4 linked regions of the Xenopus tropicalis genome follow. The protein of the gene in region 3 purifies or fractionates together with the protein of the main gene of each other region. This does not show direct contact. Links are inferred from orthologs where the notes say so. Each region holds a gene or a part of one and is shown on either strand. Other genes may lie near its edges.

Region 1 (5,588 bases), on a different chromosome or scaffold from region 3:
ACTATTTCCAGACAAGAAATGTCCTGTTTAATACACCAGTAAGTGCAAGGCAGCAGTATATTAAAATTAAACACATACGAAACAGTTTATTTACCGTATATACTCTAGTATAAGCCGATCGCCGAGGTACCTAATTTTACCTAAGAAAACTGGAAAAATTTATTGACTCAAGTATAAGCCTAGGGTGGGAAATGCAGCTCCTACTGCTTTGTTGTTTTTTTTTTTTTTTTTTTTTAACTGTCAGGCAAGTTTGGGAAGGCTAAGAAAGCTGCCATACTAAGTACTTGCCAACCTGCTGTGTGCGCTCCCCTGTGTGCTCTCCCATCCTGCTGTGTGCGTTCCCATCCTGCTGTGAGGCCCAAACCTTGGTTGAACAGCCCGTAATGCTGCCTTCAAGCTACTAAATAGCTGTTTGCTCCTCCAGAGAGCTTTCTATTGTCTAAGTGGCCCATAATGGGGACTTAGACTATTTTCACATGGAACATTTTGATTGTCTATATTTGTAGCGCGGTAAAAAAAATACCTGATGTCCACCACAGTCTGCTTCCCATTGACTTCAGAGCTGTGCAACTTGTCACCCAGCGTGGCTGAATATCACCCTAATACTTAACAGCTCATCCAAACAAAACAGCTTGTTGGATTTCTGCCGTGTGCGCTCCCAACTTAAAAAGGCAAGCGCACGCACGTACGACCATTCACGGGGGGGGGGACACTTACATCTTCAAATCCATATACTCGAGTATAAGCCAAGGGTGACTTTTTCAGCACATTTTTGGTGCTGAAAAACTCGGCTAATACTCGAGTATATACAGTATTTGTTTATTGTTTTACTGGTCTTTTAGTGCAGAAATTAACTTAGATCTGTCTACTGCAGGTGGAAGAAACCTTCAGAATTGTAATTTTGGTCACAATGTTGCTGTTGTAGAAATGCTTGTTTTGGTCTTTTTAAGCAGTCTCTGTCTCTCACTGCTTCTGTCTACAACAGACATAACATTTGTTAGACTTGCTATTCCAAGCTGTTACAGATAATATGGGTATTTCTGACTGACACTGATTTCCTCAACAGCACCTCTGCATGTCATAGGACTAAAATCCAACCTCTAACAACCCCTAACATTTTGGCACCTCCCAGTGATTATATCTTGCCTTCTCCTTTAATGCGGCTCTATGTTTTACACTTACTTGATATAATGGCCTCCCCTTTAATATCATTTTCTGAAAATTCCACTGCATTTTATTTGCATATACCCAATAAATAGTATGCATATAACAGATATTTTAGGACAGTAACTTACCTTCCAGCTTGCAGTACAATGCCAATCGCCATTTTCACTTTTGTCCCAAACCTACAAACAAATATATATAGCCCCGATTGATTCACAGCATGCCACATGTTGGTGTGAGAGTAAAAAGCAAGGCATTTTGTTTAGCTTATATATATAAGTAATAGGTTTACAGACCTAAAGACTACATGTTATAGGTGAAGGGGTGATAAAGTTATCTGCTTAGATAACTCCAACATGTGCGGACATATAAAGCCACATTTATCAACGGTCACACTGTCACCGGCGTACTAAGTGCCAGGAAATATTGCTGTATTTATCATTCTTTCCTATTAGATTTTTTCTGAGTGAAATTTATTTTAAAGTTAACTTTAAGTATGATGTAGAATGGTATTTGGAGAAATTTTGCAATTGGTCTTCATTTTTTATTACTTGTCGTTTTTGAGTTATTTAGCTTTTTGTTCAGCAGCTCTCCAGTTTGGAATTTCACTAGCTATCTGGTTGCTAGTGTGCAATTTAACCTACCAACCAGACAACTATCTAAAAGAAAGGCAGGAATATTAACAGAGTATGACCTAAATAGAAATTTAAGTAATAAAAAAAATCAGTGCCCCCCCCATTTGAAAGCTGGAAAGAGTCAAGAGAGGAAAGCAACTAATTAAAAAATAAAACCAGCTTAAAAGTTACTAAGAATAGGCCATTCTATAACATACTAAAAGTGAATCTGAAGGTCAACCAGCACTGTTGCAGCACTTTACACAGTTTGAAAAACCTGACATGACTTTTCATCCTGGTTGACAAGAACAGCAGACAAGAAAGTTTTGACCAAAAGCATAAAATGTTTTTCAACTGATCATAACTGGAGAACATTTCCTGGATAAATCCAACAATTGTGTAAATGGGGATTTTTTATTTTTTTTTAAATCAAATCAAGAAAAGGTCAAGATATGTGTAGTATGCATAAAAAGCCAATGCTTTAACAGGAAGCTAGTTTTTCACAGTTGAATAAATATGTCCCTTACAGGGAAAGTGACATGTTCCAGTCAAAACAGGAATGTGTCACTATGCCTAAATAAATCCAAGCTGCTAATCTTTTCTAATAGAGGTGGCCTGCCCCCCCCCCCCCCTCCCTGAGTTATATTGTGCTGCTTAGAGCTATGTATTGATAGGCTGGAGCACTGTTTATATTTGTGTTAAGGCAATTAAAAACTGGCACCAGCATTATAAGTGGTCCTAGCAAGAGCTGCTTGGTGTTATCTTTATTTTGGTTTAAAGGAAAACCAATGCCCTTTAAAAACCCTAGGCCCCTCAAAAGGAGTCCCCCTCCCAAACCACACCACTGAGGTCCCCTAATATTGCCGCAATTACTGTACCTATATTATATCAATAGCAGTGCAACAGGGTTGGTGCAGTGTTTATGTTCTCTATACAACGATCACCAACCTGATGCATGTGCAACACAGATCCGGGTAGGTCTGCCAACTTTGCCCTCAGCAAAAACCAAACAAAAGGGTGGAATGATTGGGGGCAAAGCAGTGACATATAAGGCAGTGATCCCCAACCAGTGGCTCAGTAGCAACATGTTGCACCCCAACCCCTTGGATGTTGCACCCCAACCCATTATTTTTGAATTTCTGGTAAGGAAGCAACCTTTTGGTTGCATAAAAAAGCCAGTCCACATAGGGGCTATTAAGTAACCAATTATAGCTCTTATTGGCTCCCTCAGGAACTTTTTCCATGCTTGTGTTGCTCCCAAACACTTTTTCCATTTAAATGTGGCTCACAGGTATAAAAGGCTGGGTATCCCCGATATAAGTTAATAACATCATAAGGTCAAAACTGAACAGATGGCAACCCTAGATCCCACCAATCCCGTTGCACTATTCTGCCTTTAAAGAACAGGTATGACCAGGGTACTATAAGAGGTGAGCAGTGCTGCAGGGGGGGTAGCTAAAAATGGCAAAAGGAAGACAGGCTCATCCACTCGGATCTTGGAGCATGTTTACAGCTATGCCAGTTTTACCAAACGGAAAACATCCTCTGGAGAATATATCCGCACGAAGCTATAGAACAGGAGGATTAAATATAGCCACACGCTTCCTAATTTTGCGTTGTGCAGTTAAAAAAACAGCAGGAAGGCCTTAGGATGGGTGCCCACAAAATTCTCCCGCTTACTTTCACACTCTGGTCACTGGAACATGTCGCCATCCTCCTGCCATGGAAATCAAACGACACATCGTGGATGAGATCTTTGTGATCGGCAGCGATACTTCTTGCCACGAACATAGTGCACAAGTCGGAGTGTCAAGCAGTTTGGACAGGGCTGTTGGTTTAGCGGTTCGAACTAGACGTCAGAAAGCAGCATGGATTTTTTTTTTTTTCATGGCCCAGACATGAGCCTGACGTCACAGCATCAGAACCTCTACGCGCCTGCGCAAGACTTCGCGCTTTTACATTCATCCATCCGGTCGCATTCTAAATACGCAGCGTACGAACTGTGGAAAAGGGGGAGGGTATTTGTGTGTGATGGTAGGCCGCGCAATTTAGCTTTCTAGGAATTTTATTATCTTCTGAGCTAGTTTCGAGCTGCTCGCTGAACTGTTTACTATTCAGAGCCACGGCTTGTAAAACAGAAGCGCTGCTATGTGCGCCCCAAGGGCGAGATTAGTAGCCCTGCAGCCCAGTCACAAGCAATAACGCCAATGAAGCCATAGTGAAGGTGCCGGCCCCTGAGGAGATTTGTCGCCCACAATTGAGGCCAGTGACACACAGGGAGATTAGTCACTGTGCAAAAAAACTCTGTTGTCATGGGCTACTAATCTTCCCGCAATGCCATCCTACGGGCTAAAATGAAATTCGCTGGTGGGATGGCATACGCGGCATAGCCATTTCCTCTCAAGACAACTTTGGCAAATTGTGGTGCTGCGTATGCCATCCCACTGGCGATTTACATTCTAGGTGGTGGGATGGCATTGCGGGGAATTGCTGGCAGAAAGGTGCACGTGTTTCCAAAGTCGCAATAGTTTTGGAAACTGCACAACTTCAGAAAACGCCAGAAATTAGTCATTCGTTATAACCAGATTTAACTGCGAGTGACTAATCTCCCCATGGCCTATCACGTTTACAATGATTACAATGCTATTTTGCTGATGACACAAAGAAAATTAATCTCTAGCGGTGGCAAATAATCTCCCCGAGTTCTTTCCTACAGGTAAGAATGTAAATCGCAAGAAACCTTTGGATTACTTCACTTAACTGAAGAGAGATTACTTGCTACCTCTAGAGGCGATTAATTGCAGGGCAACTAATCTCGTATGTCATTGGCCTAAAGCTGGTCATATACCCACCAATATCGTACGAAATGAGGTTTCGATATTCGGTGCGTGTGCGGTGGGTCATATCGATCACATCATTGAACGGGCAGGACAAAAAACTTTGATGATGCCCAATCAAAATTTGCCTTTAGGGCTAAATCGTTAGATAAGGGTAGTATCCCTATTGTTTCTACCTCCATATCTGACGATTCAGCCCTGAATGTCAGTGGAGGGTGGGAGTGATCTTTCCAGCAACCAATGATCGTACGAAAGATAATAATTGTAAGGTATATGGCCACTTTAAGGTAGAAAAGTATCAGTGGCTGCAGGTGGGATTTCTAGATCCACTCATCCAGGCCCCTCTTAAAGGCATTAACAGAGTCTGCCATTACCACATCACTAGGAAGGGCATTCCCCAGCCTCACTGCCCTCACCGTGAAAAACCACCTACGCTGCTTCAAATGGAAGCTCTGTTCCTCTAATCTATAGGGGTGACCTCTGGTGCGCTGATTGTTTTTATGGGAAAAAAGAACATCCCCCAACTGCCTATAATCCCCTCTAATGTACTTGTACAGAGTAATCATGTCCCCTCGCAAGCGCCTCTTTTCCAGAGAAAACAACCCCAACCTCGACAGTCTAACCTCATAGTTTAAATCTTCCATCCCCTTAACCAGTTTAGTTGCATGTCTCTGCACTCTCTCCAGCTCATTAATATCCTTCTTAAGGACTGGAGCCCAAAACTGCACTGCATACTCAAGGTGAGGCCTTACCAGGGACCTATAAAGCGGCAAAAATATGTCCTCATCCCTTGAGTCAATGCCCTTTTTTATACAAGACAGCACTTTATTTGCTGTAGTAGCCACAGAATGATACTGCCTGGAATTAGACAACTTGTGATCTACAAAAACCCCTAGATCCTTCTCCATTAAGGATGCCCCCAACACACTACCATTCAGTAGATAGTTCGCGTTTATATTATTCCTACCAAAGT
Region 2 (4,247 bases), on a different chromosome or scaffold from region 3:
CAACCAATGACAGGGCCCGGATTTTATTAAAGGGGGCCCGAGCTACTAAGAAAAACTGTAGCATCGCCGGGCCCCCTTTGAAAGTAAAAATTGCGGCCCTGCCTACGGCACACCAGGCAACATCTCGCGGCACACTAGTGTGCCACGGAACAGTGGTTGAAAAACGCTGATCTAGGGTGTGTTACTATATATTTTAATCTTTTCATTCTTCCTTTTCGCTTTACCAATTTTAAAAAATTATTTTAGCTGTGAACATAAATTAAAAGTTATATTTTAAGATTCTACAGGTGTGCCAAAAAAATTGTGTTCTTTTCATCTTTTGCTTTATATGTGACACACAATGGCCTTCCAGAGATTGTCTGTGTGGGCATGGAATTAAATATCGCACTATTATCAGCAGAGCTCGTGGTTTTCACTTACAGGTATCGGACCCCTTATCCGGAAACCCATTATCCAGAAAGTTCCGAATTACGGAAAGGCCATCTCCCATAGACTCCATTATAATCAAATAATTACCATTCTTAAAAATTATTCCCTTTTTCTCTGTAATAATAAAACAGTACCTTGTACTTGTTCCCAACTAATATATGATTAATCCTTATTGGAAGCAAAACAATCCTATTGGGTTTAATTACTGTTTAAATAATATTTTAGTAGACTTAAGGTAGGAAATCTGAATTACGGAAAACCCCAGGTCCCTACCATTCTGGATAATGGGCCCCATACCTGTAATAACAACTGCAACTCTGCACCTGGGCTACCAGGAATTAAGGATGCAAAATACACTATTTAATTTACATTTTCAGCCACTTACAGGAAAAAAATATCACACAAACTGCTCACTGCACAAAGTAATTGGATAACACTGAGACAGCAAGTACAATTTTTATTGTTACTGTAGGACGACCAAGCCAAAAGTAAATGTGCCAGTCAATGGTTATTACTGGTTGCTGCACTAAGAAACAATGGCAGACACTAATTCTTAGACTGAGGGGAAAAAACGACTTCCTTTTATCATTTTATAGATTGTAAGCTCTACGGGGCAGGGACCTCCTTCATCTTGTGTTTCTGACTCTTATTGCAACTGTACCTTGTATTTATTGTTATACTTTGTATTTATCCATTATCTTTAACCCCGTCTGTATTAATGAATTCTACTGCACAGCGCTGCGTACATAAGTAGCGCTTTATAAATAAAGATATACATACATACATACATACATGGGAAAGTTATAGGATCACCCCGTCTATTATCATCCACTGTACAATTTTTAGGGCTTTTGTTTCCTGTATTATTTGGTTCGGTTATTATTCTTCCATTGCTTAGCAAACTATTTGCATGAATCCCATTTTCTTCCTTGTAGGTCAAGAAAAATATAACTTGTTTAAAGAGCAAGTGGATTTGACGCAACCTGACTGACTGAACGATAACCCCTGGTTCCAACCAGTTGGCCAGTTGCAGCCTAACAGGCCGGGCCGTTGCTTATGACGTCACTAGCAGCGCGCCATTTCCTGCACTTCCTGAGACAACGCGGGTAGCGAGCGCTTTTCAAACTATCCCGACACAGCGGCTACCGGATCCAGCATGTTTCCGTCACCCCGTGCTCAGGGTGTGGGCTCAGCGCGGCGGCCGTTTAATGCCCGACTGACTGGCGGCAGGAAAGGCTTGGGTCCGGGAGTGAGCGCCAGTTCTTCCCCGTCGGCGCTGTACTCGCCTGTGGGTCGTAGAGTTTCCAGCAGTGGCGCCAGATCCACCCCGTCCCGCGTTTATCTCCACCCGGCCGCCTCTGAGACGGTGAATTACAATGTACAGCTGTTTGGTTCCTCCTTGCCAGTTAAAGTAATGGAGGCCCTGTCTAACTCCGGTGTAGACGAGCCCTTGGCTGCTCGCATCCATGAAGGCGGATGGGCATGGCTGGCGTGCAAGGATCGCCTGATCATTTGGAAGATAAGTCACTCCACCTCTGCTAAGTTAATGGTGTGCAAAGAACTGCCTCTTCCACTGAGTGACAGCGAATGGTCTGCTGATTTAGCGGATATTTGTGCCCACACGGGTGACTCTGCTGCTGGACAGGCAGTGGCATTAATGGCGGCCACTCCTGAAGGGTCAGCCCGCTACTGGCCTAACATTCTCCATGAGAGCAACTATATAGAGTCTTACGCTGACTTTGGCTCCTCTCTTTGTGCATTTGTTACAGCTGTAAAAGGCAACAGTTTCATCCTGTCTTCAGAAAAAAATCACCTTGTACGACTGACACCCGACGCGTCCGGAAAGATTAATCAACGTATTCTGCCGCAAGGTCAGGGCATGCTGTCCGGTATTGGCCGCAGGGTGTCCACGCTCTTTGGCATCTTGTCTCCTGCTGTTGAATCCACGCTCTGCAGTGTTCTCTGGGATAAGGGAGATTGCTTCTATACTCTCACAGACTCAAGTATAAACAAATGGGACTTGGATGATGCTTCGGAAAGTCACGTGCTTACCTGGGACATGACCAGAGTCCTAAGAGAAAACATATCTGATGCCATTTGGGGGTCTGAGAGCAACTATGATGATATAAAAAATGGAATTAACATTGATTATTTAAGTCTTAACCAGAACTGTGATGGTTTAGTCATCCTGGCTGCTGCCTGGCATCCTGGTGATAACCCCTGCCAGATATATTACACACTTGTAACCGTGAAAGACGAAGGTTATAATATTTCTGATGAAATTACAGTGGAAGTCACTCAGTTCAACCCTGTGTTTCAGTCTAGAGATATGCAGCTGTGCCAGCTTGTGATACCAAATTTTAGCAGCCAGGCCTGTTACTTGTATACCCAAGATATGGTCTTTGCATGTTCAACAGGAACTGGAAGGAGCACTTTGCCTCAAGAAAAGATTCCATTTGAAGCACAAGGAGATAATATTATAGGAGCTGGATCCTGTGAAGGTTGGCCAGTTTTTTTCATTAGAAAGAGTGGTATGCTGACCGTTGTTGCTAGAGAGACTGCTTCTGTGCTCCCAGAGCACATGGAAGAGTCACTGTTGTCCGTGTCTAAATCCAGCTCTCAGGCTGCAGTAAAGGACTCAACTTCAAGACCTGACCAGATTGCTCATGATGATAAGACCAAACTTCTGAAGGCCGCTTTTTTGAGATGTTGCAGGAAAGACATACTGGGGGCACAGAGCATGGTGGATAGCCTGTTCTCAGATTCAGACATGGGACCAGATGATGAACTGGATCAAGCAGTAAACCAAATAAGCGTCGATTTGATTGATGATTATCCTGCCTCTGATCCTCGTTGGGCTGAATCTGTCCCTGAAGAGGCAGCTGGATTTAGCAACACTTCTCTAATTCTCTTGCATCAGCTGGAAGATAAGATGAAAGCTCACTCCTTTTTTGTGGATTTCCTTCATCAAGTTGGACTTTTCAGTCGTTTGAGCACTTGTCAAGCAAAAGGAATGTTCGTAGCAACTCGACTGTTGCTGTGTGAGCATGCAGAGAAACTGTCTGCTGCAATTGTTTTAAAGAACCACCATGCTAAGCTCCCTGCCTTGGTTAACTCTGCCATACAACTTGCACTTGATAAAAGGATGTGCTCCATACCCCAGAATCTCACTGCCGCCGATGTCTACTTTAGAGAGGTATCCCAAATGGATATTATCTTTGAATGCCTGGTAGACAAAGAGGAAGCTGACTTGGAAAGTACTTCCATGGACTCAGTTGAATGGGCAAATATAGTTGTCAATATCAATACTATTCTGAAAGACATGCTACATGCTGCCTGTCAGTACAGACAAAGTAAAAATTCTCTCTATAAAAATGAAAGTGGAATGCAAGAGCCCGAGTATGTTCCCTGGACTGCTTCTAGTGGAATTGCAGGTATTAGGTCTGTTGTTACACGTCAGCATGGTGTAATATTGAAGATCTACCCACAAGCGGATAGCAGCCTTCGTACTATACTAATTGAGCAGCTTGCAGCCTTGCTAAACTACTTGCTTGATGATTATGTCATCCAACTAAAATCAGTTGATAAACGGACTAATCAAGAAAGATACAGTGTCCTGGAAATGGAGTATGCTCAGAAGCGGTCAGAACTTTTAGCTCCTTTGTTAAGCCTAGGACAGTATGCCTGGGCTTCAAATCTTGCTGAGAAGTACTGTGACTTTGATATCTTGGTGCAGATATGTGAAATGACTGATAATCAGAGCAGGCTGCAAAGGTACATGACTCTATTTTCAGATCAGAATTTTTCAGATTTTCTGT
Region 3 (5,726 bases):
CAAACGAGAGTTGCTGAACAAAAGGTAAATAATTCAAAAACTGCAAGTAACAAACAAAGACCAATTGCAAATTGTCTCAAAATAGCACTCTACATTATACTAAAGGTTAATTTAAAGAGACGGTTCACCTTTAAGATAACTTTTAGTATATTATACAATGGCATATTCAAGGCAACGTTTCTATTGGTCTTCATTATTTATTTTTTATAATTTTTGAATTATTTCCCTTCTTCTGCCTCTTTGCAGCTTTCAAATGGGGGTCACTGACCCCGGCAGCCAAACCCTATTGCTCTGTGAGGCTCCAGTTTTATTGTTATACTTATGTTTTATCATTTATTTATTTTCCTGTTCAGGCCTCTTTTATTCATATTCATGTCTCTCATTCCAACCACACCCTGGTTACTAAGGTAATTAGACCCTAGCAACCAGATAACTGCTTAAACTCCAAACTGGAGAGCTGCTGAACAATAATTAAAAAACTACAAATAGTAATAAATGAAGACCAACTGCAAATTGTCTCAGAATATTTCTCTCCGCATCATATTAAAAGTTAACTGTTAACCCTTTTAAAGGGCAAAGAAAGCCTGAGCCACTAGGGGTGCCAGTTCATAACCAATTACTATTTCCCCAGGCACTTTATTTTTAATACATAATGCAGCAACCCATGGTGATTGTCTCCACAGGGGCCACCAGCAGCTTGCCGGCACCCCCTCACTGTATTGAGGAAGACTAACAGGGCTTTGCTACACAGGGGCAGGGGGTGACTGGGAAGCTGGATAGATAACTCCATACCTCCCAACTGTGAAAAGTCCCTCATTTCCCTTTGATCTCCTGCACTGAAGCTAAAAAGATACAATGTTTCTCAAACTTAATTAACAAAAGTACCTTTTGGCAGAGAGCCCAGAATTCGTAACAAGCATCACCTGCACTTAGATACAGTGTTTCTCATGTTTAATTAAATAAGTAGCTTTTGGCAGAGAGCCCAGAAAGGTAAAAAGCCCCCCCCCCTGCACTGAGATACAAGTGTAACTAATAAGCTAAACAGGTTTCTTGGGGGAATGGAGACTCACAGCCTAAAGGCCAACTTCACCTTTTTCAGCAAAACTGGAATAACACATAAAACAGGACCCCCCCAAACCCCCAGAAATGTGATCAAACTTTAAATCACCTGGGGGTGTGTGTCCCTCTTTCCGTTTTCAAAATGTTGGCAGGTAACTGCTCTTTTGTTTTGTGACCCAGGCTTTCCATATACACAGGGGCCCCCAGTGATCCAGCTGTCTGACTAACAGGCTCCCTCATTGGCTGCAAGTACAAATATCCCACATTTTGGGCTCATAATGGTTTCCCATAGTTTAACCCCCCCCATTTGACTTATTAGTCTTAATGCCAAGAATATAGGCACTATGGTTGAACGTGATGGATGGATGTCTTTTTTCAACCCAACTTACTATGTTACTATGTAGGCCACACCTCCTGCCCTAGCTGAGCTGTAATTGGACAGGAAGATTAAGGGGAGTCAGTCAATGGGCCTAGAAGCAATCACCTCAGACAATACCCAGGGGAATCAGCATCATGGAGGGGGGGCATAGTTTTGGGGGGAAGAGCCTGTAATACCCCTGTAGCCCATATGTACCCTCCCCAAACTAACTATAACTGCCCCTCAGGCTGGGCCCCAATCCAAGTCACTACAGGGCCCGCCCCACTGCTTGGAAGCCACTAGTCCCGCCCAGGAGGGAAAAAAGTTACTAGTCCCGCCCACCGGACCATGACACCATGCGCTTGCACGCCATATCTAGCGGGAGCGCGCACCATTACATTTCCAAGGAGCGATTTTTAAAAGAGTAGCGGGACGCTCGTCCCCGCCCCTTTCATACCCATTGGCTAACAGCATAGCCAATCCAGTTCTTCTATTCCTTGCGCGCCGCTCTCCACATAACTTGCGGGACCGCGAATCTAAAGCTTTACTATGCGTGTCATTTTGTCCTGAGACGTGAATAGAATTGCATCTCTCCTAAAACCAATAAACATCCCGACTCAGTCTGCGAGTTTTAATTGAGAGCGCAGGAATGAGTCACGTACTGACTAACCATCACGTGAGCAGAGCCGCGCACGCCATAGGGTCCCGCCGCTCAGCCAATCGTTATGAAGGGCGCGTAAAGTAGTCCCGACCTTTGTTTGACTGGCATAGGAAGCGGCCAATCCCATCGAGCGTTTGACGGGGGCGGGGCTCAGATCTGACGTTCTACCCCTGACGCCAGCGCCATATCGCTGGATGACGCACTTTAGCTCCCTTGCGTGACGGGAGCGTGACTGCCGGTACCGGAGAGTCTGGGGAAAGCGTTTTCATCTACTGCTGTGTTGGGCGCGTACGAGCTGAGCTTTTGGTTGGGGGCGCTGGTGTCTGGAGGCCGCGGGCAGGTAGGCGGGGAGAGAGCGTCGGGCTGAGGTGTGGAGCGCATGGGGATTAGTGGGAGGTGTGAGCCGCCCCCTCCCGCTGTAGTGCGGTGGAACAGTCCGCCTTATTGCCTAACCTTCTCCGGAATGTTCCACTTCCATGTGTGGGGGGCGATTAAACCTGATACCCAGTCACTGCTTCCCATATCCAGGGCAGGACTGAGTTCCACATTTCCGCTTGCTGCCGGTTGCTACCGGTTTCTGGTTAGTGACAGGACTATGTTCCGCCTGGTTCCGGTGCTGCTGGGTTCTCTTGGTTACTGACGGGCCTGGGATCCCCAATGCAGTGTCCCCAATGAAACCCCTCCCCTCTGATAGTGACAGTTTGGGGTCTCCCCTCTCTGTGCCATTGCAGCCTCCATAGGTTTCTCTGCTGCGTCTGTCGCACCGCTGCCTACGTCTCTGTCCCCTAATGTGTTTGTTTCTATTGCCCCACATGGGCGTGTCCTAATGTACTGCCCCAGTCAGGCCCCTCTCTCTGTTTCCTGTGTCTTGTGCTTACAGATAAGGAGGCTTTCCCCATACAGGGAATCTCATATAATACTCAGAGTACTTCCACCACTTTGTTTTACTGTAAATGTTTTCATAACTCAACCTTATTAGTCACTTTTGTTTTTGTGTTTTTTCCAGGGCCCTGAATCTGTTCAAGAGCATTCCATCTCCTCTCTCAGGTAATGTATTTCTTTTGTAAGAACTGGGACTATAGCGGGGTGCCTGTTACCCCAATGTTTCTATATATCTGTAACCTTGTTATGGGCTAAGGGGGCCCAGCCTGAAGGCCAGTTAGGGGGGGATTTGGGGTGAGTGCTTATTTGTGCCCTGGGTACCCCTGGAACTATAGCGGGGTGACTGTTACCCCAATGTTTCTATATATCTGTAACCTTGTTATGGGCTAAGGGGGCCCAGCCTGAAGGCCAGTTAGGGGGGGATTTGGGGTGAGTGCTTATTTGTGCCCTGGGTACCCCTGGAACTATAGCGGGGTGACTGTTACCCCAATGTTTCTATATATCTGTAACCTTGTTATGGGCTAAGGGGGCCCAGCCTGAAGGCCAGTTAGGGGGGGATTTGGGGTGAGTGCTTATTTGTGCCCTGGGTACCCCTGGAACTATAGCGGGGTGACTGTTACCCCAATGTTTCTATATATCTGTAACCTTGTTATGGGCTAAGGGGGCCCAGCCTGAAGGCCAGTTAGGGGGGGATTTGGGGTGAGTGCTTATTTGTGCCCTGGGTACCCCTGGAACTATAGCGGGGTGACTGTTACCCCAATGTTTCTATATATCTGTAACCTTGTTATGGGCTAAGGGGGCCCAGCCTGAAGGCCAGTTAGGGGGGGATTTGGGGTGAGTGCTTATTTGTGCCCTGGGTACCCCTGGAACTATAGCGGGGTGCCTGTTACCCCAATGTTTCTATATATCTGTAACCTTGTTATGGGCTAAGGGGGCCCAGCCTGAAGGCCAGTTAGGGGGGGATTTGGGGTGAGTGCTTATTTGTGCCCTGGGTACCCCTGGAACTATAGCGGGGTGACTGTTACCCCAATGTTTCTATATATCTGTAACCTTGTTATGGGCTAAGGGGGCCCAGCCTGAAGGCCAGTTAGGGGGGGATTTGGGGTGAGTGCTTATTTGTGCCCTGGGTACCCCTGGAACTATAGCAGGGTGACTGTTACCCCAATGTTTCTATATATCTGTAACCTTGTTATGGGCTAAGGGGGCCCAGCCTGAAGGCCAGTTAGGGGGGGATTTGGGGGTGAAGTGTTTGGGGAATGAGTTACGTTTGGCTTTATTTATATTTTGGCTTGGCAGGTTTTAACTGTTTCACATCGGTAGCGTTTCTCTAAGTAGTCCACAAGTAATATATATTGTAGCTAATTGTTAGCTTGTGGTATTTCAGATAATCAGCTTTTGCTTCATTGTTTCATGCTTCAGAACCAGTAGTGCAGTGAATATAAATGGCCAGACACATACTCCATTCAGTGGCAAACACATTTATATTTAACTGGGGATAATGTGGAATGAATGTATATTGGACAGTTTGGGGTTATAGTCCCAGGAATGGGTATAAGACTGGCAGGTTTGTATGCGCTCTGGGTACTTGGGAGCAATGGTATAAAGATTATGTATATAATTCATACGTTCATTAACGGACAGTATTGTGTTTGTGTGAATATATAGATATATACACCCCGTATACATTCTCAGCGGTTGTATTCTGCTGCTTTGTGTTTATAGGGAACATATGGGGAAATGTCATAAAAGGTTCAAAGTTTCATGCTGGTAATCCCCCTAGAGCAGCCAATCAGCAGGCAGCATTTACTGGGCAAACAAGATTTTGGTTGCTAAGGGTTTCTGCACCTGGTAGTTCCTTTTATTCTATATGTTGAGTAGCATTTGTGTAAATCTCTTGCTTCCTTCAGTCATGGAATTACAGTATCACCCCAAAATCTTGTGTATGTGCCAGAATGGGGGGCCTGATGCCCATGCACTGGCTACACCGATTCATGGTGAAGAGGGAGGGGGAAAGTTTAAGTAATTGGATGCCCCGCCTCTATGCATTAGAGGCGGGGCAGACAATAGATGATTGACAGCTGTGATTTTTGCAGGATTGTTGCAGGCACTGCAAAGGCTGTGCGAGGCATTAAGGGGGCTGTTCACCTTGGAGGTAACTTTAAGTATGATGTAGAGAGTAGTATTCTGGGACAATTTGCAATTGGAGGACCTGAATAGGGAAAACAAGTTACAAAAAGTAACAATAACCATAAAACTGGAGCCTCACAGAGCAGTAGTGTTTTGGCTGCCGGGGTCAGTGACCCTAATTTGAAAGCTGGAAAAAGGCAGTAGAAGGCAACTATTTCAAAAACTATAAAACAAAAATAATGAAGACCAATTGAAAAGTTGCTTAGAATAGGTAGTTAACACAAAGGTGAACCTCTTTTTAAGGTGCCACTGGGCCATTGAGTTTTTTGATATGTAAAATAAAGCTGTAACTTTTTATCATTTGGATTTGCTCTGCTCCTCTCATGTTTTGGATTTCTTTGGGGATCTTCTAGGGGACCCCTGCAGTGAGCACCCACCTTATTGTATTGATTCTGTAGGTGTGCAGCATTACATACTTGAATTTCCACTGGGCCATTGAGACATTACTGTTACTAGCCTTGATGTTTTATCCATTCAGGGAGCAGGGCTTGCAAGGAAAGTGCCATGGTTTGTGCTCCTAAATACCTGTATGTGTTATTTCTTATATCATCTATGCGGTATCCCAAGAGTCAGGCTTGT
Region 4 (4,940 bases), on a different chromosome or scaffold from region 3:
ATTATTGCTTTGGGTCTGCTTTCTATGCAGGCCAATAAATTCCATCCAGGAAGTATGCTCTTGGAAAGGGCTCTGGACAATCTGGGTGGCTTAGTGGCAGATGAAATTATGCTTTTGGAATTTAAAAATATACAATATACATAAATATTCAAATAATGAGAAATAGGCTGTAGGTGCAGAAACTGCTGCAGGTGCACTTTTATTGGCACAAGTGTGTTGTAGATAATAACTTGGTTGTAGCAAGCAATGCCAGTCAGCAGGTTGGAAGGGCCAACCATAGATATCAAACGGTAACAGCCCAACCTCCACTTGAATAATGTCATAGAATAAGGAACGATACAGATTGAACCATGGTCATACATTTGCAGATAACCTTAAGAATTTTTTAATAAACATTATGGTTACAACAGCAGCACATATTTAGTGGCTCTACTAAATATACTTGTGGGTGATGCTGTAGCCAAACCCCAGACTATTTATAACTTCTTAATTCAGATCCTGGTATATACAGTAGCAGTATCTCCATTGTACATATTTCTTTCATTTTATTTAATTTAATTGTTATTGATAGCTTGGCTGAGTGTACGAACCCCTGTTGCCATAATATGGGTAAGCTCTTGAAGGAGATCTAGTATGGTTGGGGCAAGTAGCCTGATTTAAATGCATGTTTTCAACATTTGGAGCAAGCCTCATCATTTCCTTTTAGCCAAAGAGTGGTCACATATGCTTTAAGCAATATATAAAGGTGGATCATTCTGCAGTCTTTAGTGTTTGTTCCTACTTTTGATCAAAAATTTAAAACTGACTAGACTCCTGTTTATCACAGACATGGGATCCCTTAGCCAGAAACCCCTGGAAAAATCTGAGTTATGCAATGTTTATCTTCCATGAATTCCATTTTGAAATTATTTGAAGTCAATTTTTTATAAATAATAAAACAGTAGAATCTACTTGATCCTAACTATGTTACATACCTATTGTTGCCAAAACAGTACTATTGTGGGTTTTTGTAATGTTTACTTGTTTTTTTAGTAGACCTAAGATAAGGCATCTTTGCAATTTGCATCACCATATCTGGAAATCCCAGGACCCAACCATTCTGGATAATAGATGTCTACCTGTACATACATATATGCACCTAATGGCTGTTCACTAAATGAATTGTTAAATGATTGTTAATACGCATAATAATAATAATTTCAGTAACCCCTAATTTTCTCCCTTGCTAAAAAAAAAACAAAAAACACCTAACCCCATCTGCATGTAGAAGTGCTTCAGTGAGAAAATTCCAAAAGGTTGCATCTAGTGCATATTAAAATGGGACCTCCTTTCTTATATTCTCAGTGGAAGCCCTTGTGTCTGCTGTAAACTGCACTTCATACCCAAGATGTGGCCTTAACAGTGCTATGTAAAGGGGAATAACACTATCTCTTTGCAACTGTATACTGTTTTAACAGCAGAATCCCCTGACTGACAGTCCCATTAAGGGTGTTAGTCGATTGCATTATTTTTTGATTCCTGATGTGTAACCATATATGTATCTACACTGTATCTCACCTGCCACTTAGCTGCCCAGATAGATAGTTCGTCCAGATCCTACTAAAAGGATGCAACACTTTGGAAGGAATTGGTCTGAATAGTTTTGAGTTATCTGCCATTACCAGAACATGTCAAGTTTATTGACATGTTACATGACAGGTTTATTCATTAATTTAGAGTTTTTGTTGCTAACACTGTTTTAATAAACCTTAAACAAATGTTGAGAGCAATAAACAAATCTGTAATTCACACTAGAAGCAAGTTTGTTTGTGATGGATAGAAGCAAACAAATTTCAGTTTGTCTGAATTTCAGTTCAGACAAAAATAGTTGGACAAATTAAACCTAGATTAGTTCTGCCAATATTACAAGGGAATTGGTTTTAGTTTTTTTAAGAAAGGTGTTTGTTTTAGTTACTTTATTTTTTTCTTTTCCTCCAGATGATGCAGACAGCAGTACTATGCATGGAGTAACATTTCTTCGTACAACAGAGATACTGACTGTGAATTCAGTAGGCCAACTAAAGTTGTGGGATTTGAGAAAGCAAGGCAATGATCCTACCCAGATCTTCTCTGTGTGAGTTAAACTGCAACCTATACCGAGCTCCTATTCACTTTTTGTACATTTCTGAAACTGTCAGACACACTCGGATCCCTGACTGACAGTTTAAGTAACATAGTAAGTTAGGTTGAAAAAAGACATACGTCCATCACGTTCAACCATAATGCCTATATATAACCTGCCTAACTTCTAGTTGATCCAGAGGAAGGCAAAACACCCCATCTGAAGCCTCTCAAATTTGCCGCAGAGGGGAAAAAAATTCCTTCCTGGCTCCAAGATGGACCAGTCCCTGGATCAACTTGTACTAAGAGCTATCTCCCATAACCCTGTATTCCCTCACTTGCTAAGAAGCCATCCAGCCCCTTCTTAAAGCTATGTAATGTATCAGCCAGCACAGATGATTCGGGGAGGGAATTTCACAACTTCACAGCTCTCACTGTAAAAAATCCTTTCCGAATATTTAAACGGAACCTCCCTTATTCTAAACGCAGTGGGTGCCCTCGTGTCCATTGGAAGGACCTACTGGTAAATAAGGCATTAGAAAGGTTATTATATGATCCCCTTATATATTTATACATAGTTATCATGTCACCTCTTAAGCGCCTCTTCTCCAGTGTAAACAGACCCAACTTGGCCAGTCTTTCTTCATAACTGAGACTTTCTATACCCTTTACCAGCTTAGTTGCCCTTCTCTGGACCCTCTCTAATTCAATAATGTCCCGTTTGAGCACTGGAGACCAAAACTGAACAGCATATTCTAGATTGGTCCTTACCAGGGCTCTGTAAAGGGGAAGAATAACACCCTCCTCCCGTGAATCTATACCCCTTTTAATACAGCTAAACCATTTATCTCTAGACACTGCATTTCTTTAGGTGGTGGTTTTTATTATATTTCTTAATAAGAGCACATGGGAGAAAAGAGTGTGCAAGAGCTACTGTCACAAAAAGGTAAAATATCATAACTGTGAATGCATTCTCTTTGAATAGCTTGATGCAGCATTTACTCATAAATACCCAAACTATGTAGCATGTAGGAATAGTGAATGGTTGATGCTTCAGACCTGGTAAACAAAACATACTATGCTTGTTTTATATATCCAGGCACCCATAACAGAAAAGTAATCCTTGAATATCTTTTAGGTTCAAATATCAAAAGGGTATCCACTTTATTTTATCTTTTGTTTACCCTGGGGGTTGAAAGTTTACATACACTTGCTAGTATTTAGTGGCATTGCCGTTTAATTGCTTAACTTGAATCAAAGGTTTGGGTTAGCCGTCAAGCTTCTAAAGTATTTGGCCATTCATCCTTGAAGAACTGTTCTAGTCAGGTTGGTCAGCCAATTTGCTGGGATATTTTTTTCAGTCCAGTCCACACAATTTTAATAGGATGCAGGTCTGGGCATTAATCGCTACTCCAGTACTTTCATATTGTTTTCTTTTTACAACTTTTTGAGGTGCATTCTGTATAAGTCACACTGGAGAACACAGCTGTGACCTGGTGTCCTAATGCTTTGGTTATCAGTAGATCCTCCGGTGGACACAAAGGCATCCATTCAGATTAGGTGAAAGGATATTCCAAAAAGGGGTTTTCAGAGTGATGGATGTGAAAGTGTGGAGCTCTTTAAATAGACTTTTAATATATAGTTGATGTAGATTGAAAGGGTTTTATAAAACCTATTAGGACATATTTATTCATTTTGGATTTGTCAGAATGTGTTTTTTCTGGGGTAAACCTACTGTTAGTGAGATTTTTGACCTTGAATTCCAAGGTATCAAATTTTTGGAGCAGTGCATTGGTGGTAGTTGCTGATGGAAGCAAAAACTACATAATAGTTTTCCTAGGTAAAATATATGTAGCCCCCACCCCCGGGACTTACTCTTAAAGTGAAAGTACAGAATGTTCAAAAACAAACAGGGGAATTATATTAATTTTACAAACAAGTGTTATGGAGTGAAAAAAAAAAAATAGTAATAGCGCATAGGACAGTTTTTTCAACAGTGTATTTTTCTGGCAGAGAAATGCCTTAAACCACCTATACCATAGCAAGTACAGGCCGTTCTTCTCCCAAGAACACACGTTAGAGCATTTTAATTACCACTTGTACTAGCAGTATTAATCATCGGGGAGTTTTGTGATAATGTTGAATGAAAAGCACCTTGAGTAATGAACATGAAGCAGTAAAAATTTAAACCTCCACCTGTCCCCTTTCTATGTGCATTAGTCACAGCGCATTTTATACTTTCAAGAGCCATGACCGTTTGAAAAAATTATTAAGGTACAGGATTCTGCTCGGATTCCATCCAACCAGTATTATCTAATGTGTTTTTTTTTTTGTTTTTTTTTAAATAATGTGTTTCTTCATGACAAGAGTCCCTTTAACTGAAGTGTGAAATTCTGGAAGAAGGCAATTTCCTTTTATTAAGCAGCCTCATTTCATTTTGCATGCAGTGATGCCTATTTTACTTCATGTAAAGGTATTTTTGAACACTTTTTGTCCAGGAAAAAGGCGATCTCCTGCAGGTGACAAAGTGTTGTGTGTGTTTGCCCTCAAGGACCACTAAAAAGGAAAATATATTTATTCACAATTAAAGTTTGTGTCTGCTGATGGAGCACATACAAATACAGCAGGGAAAATAAATATTGAACACGTTGACACTTTTCTCAGTAAATATATTTCTAATGGGGCTGTTGACATGAAATTTACACCAGATGTCGGTAACAACCCAAGTAATCCACACTTACAAAGAAATCAAAACAAATAAATCTTTAAATTAATTAATAAAGTGGAATGACACAGGGAATAAGTATTGAACACACTTACTGAAATGTATTTAATACTTA

The links.
Region 1: the proteins of nup98 (region 3) and seh1l fractionate together in Homo sapiens (co-fractionation; 3 studies listed by BioGRID and IntAct, with this or other methods). This does not show direct contact. The link is inferred for Xenopus tropicalis from reciprocal best matches to the Homo sapiens genes NUP98 and SEH1L.
Region 2: the proteins of nup98 (region 3) and nup133 purify together in Homo sapiens (affinity purification with mass spectrometry; 6 studies listed by BioGRID and IntAct, with this or other methods). This does not show direct contact. The link is inferred for Xenopus tropicalis from reciprocal best matches to the Homo sapiens genes NUP98 and NUP133.
Region 4: the proteins of nup98 (region 3) and nup43 purify together in Homo sapiens (affinity purification with mass spectrometry; 4 studies listed by BioGRID and IntAct, counting the BioPlex papers as one, with this or other methods). This does not show direct contact. The link is inferred for Xenopus tropicalis from reciprocal best matches to the Homo sapiens genes NUP98 and NUP43.

The regions. Positions count from the first base shown.
Region 1 is NC_030682.2:103,475,665-103,481,252, forward strand, and holds the start of seh1l (nucleoporin SEH1), read right to left. Parts: upstream 3,633-5,588; 5' UTR 3,570-3,632; coding exon 3,459-3,569; intron 1,347-3,458; coding exon 1,296-1,346; intron 1-1,295. UniProt on the Homo sapiens protein: Component of the Nup107-160 subcomplex of the nuclear pore complex (NPC). The Nup107-160 subcomplex is required for the assembly of a functional NPC.
Region 2 is NC_030679.2:125,105,764-125,110,010, forward strand, and holds the start of nup133 (nuclear pore complex protein Nup133), read left to right. Parts: upstream 1-1,447; 5' UTR 1,448-1,585; coding exon 1,586-4,247. UniProt on the Homo sapiens protein: Involved in poly(A)+ RNA transport. Involved in nephrogenesis.
Region 3 is NC_030678.2:177,462,733-177,468,458, reverse strand, and holds the start of nup98 (nuclear pore complex protein Nup98-Nup96), read left to right. Parts: upstream 1-2,179; 5' UTR 2,180-2,418; intron 2,419-3,084; 5' UTR 3,085-3,125; intron 3,126-5,726. UniProt on the Homo sapiens protein: Plays a role in the nuclear pore complex (NPC) assembly and/or maintenance. NUP98 and NUP96 are involved in the bidirectional transport across the NPC. May anchor NUP153 and TPR to the NPC.
Region 4 is NC_030681.2:58,278,290-58,283,229, reverse strand, and holds part of nup43 (nucleoporin Nup43), read left to right. Parts: intron 1-1,977; coding exon 1,978-2,113; intron 2,114-4,940. UniProt on the Homo sapiens protein: Component of the Nup107-160 subcomplex of the nuclear pore complex (NPC). The Nup107-160 subcomplex is required for the assembly of a functional NPC.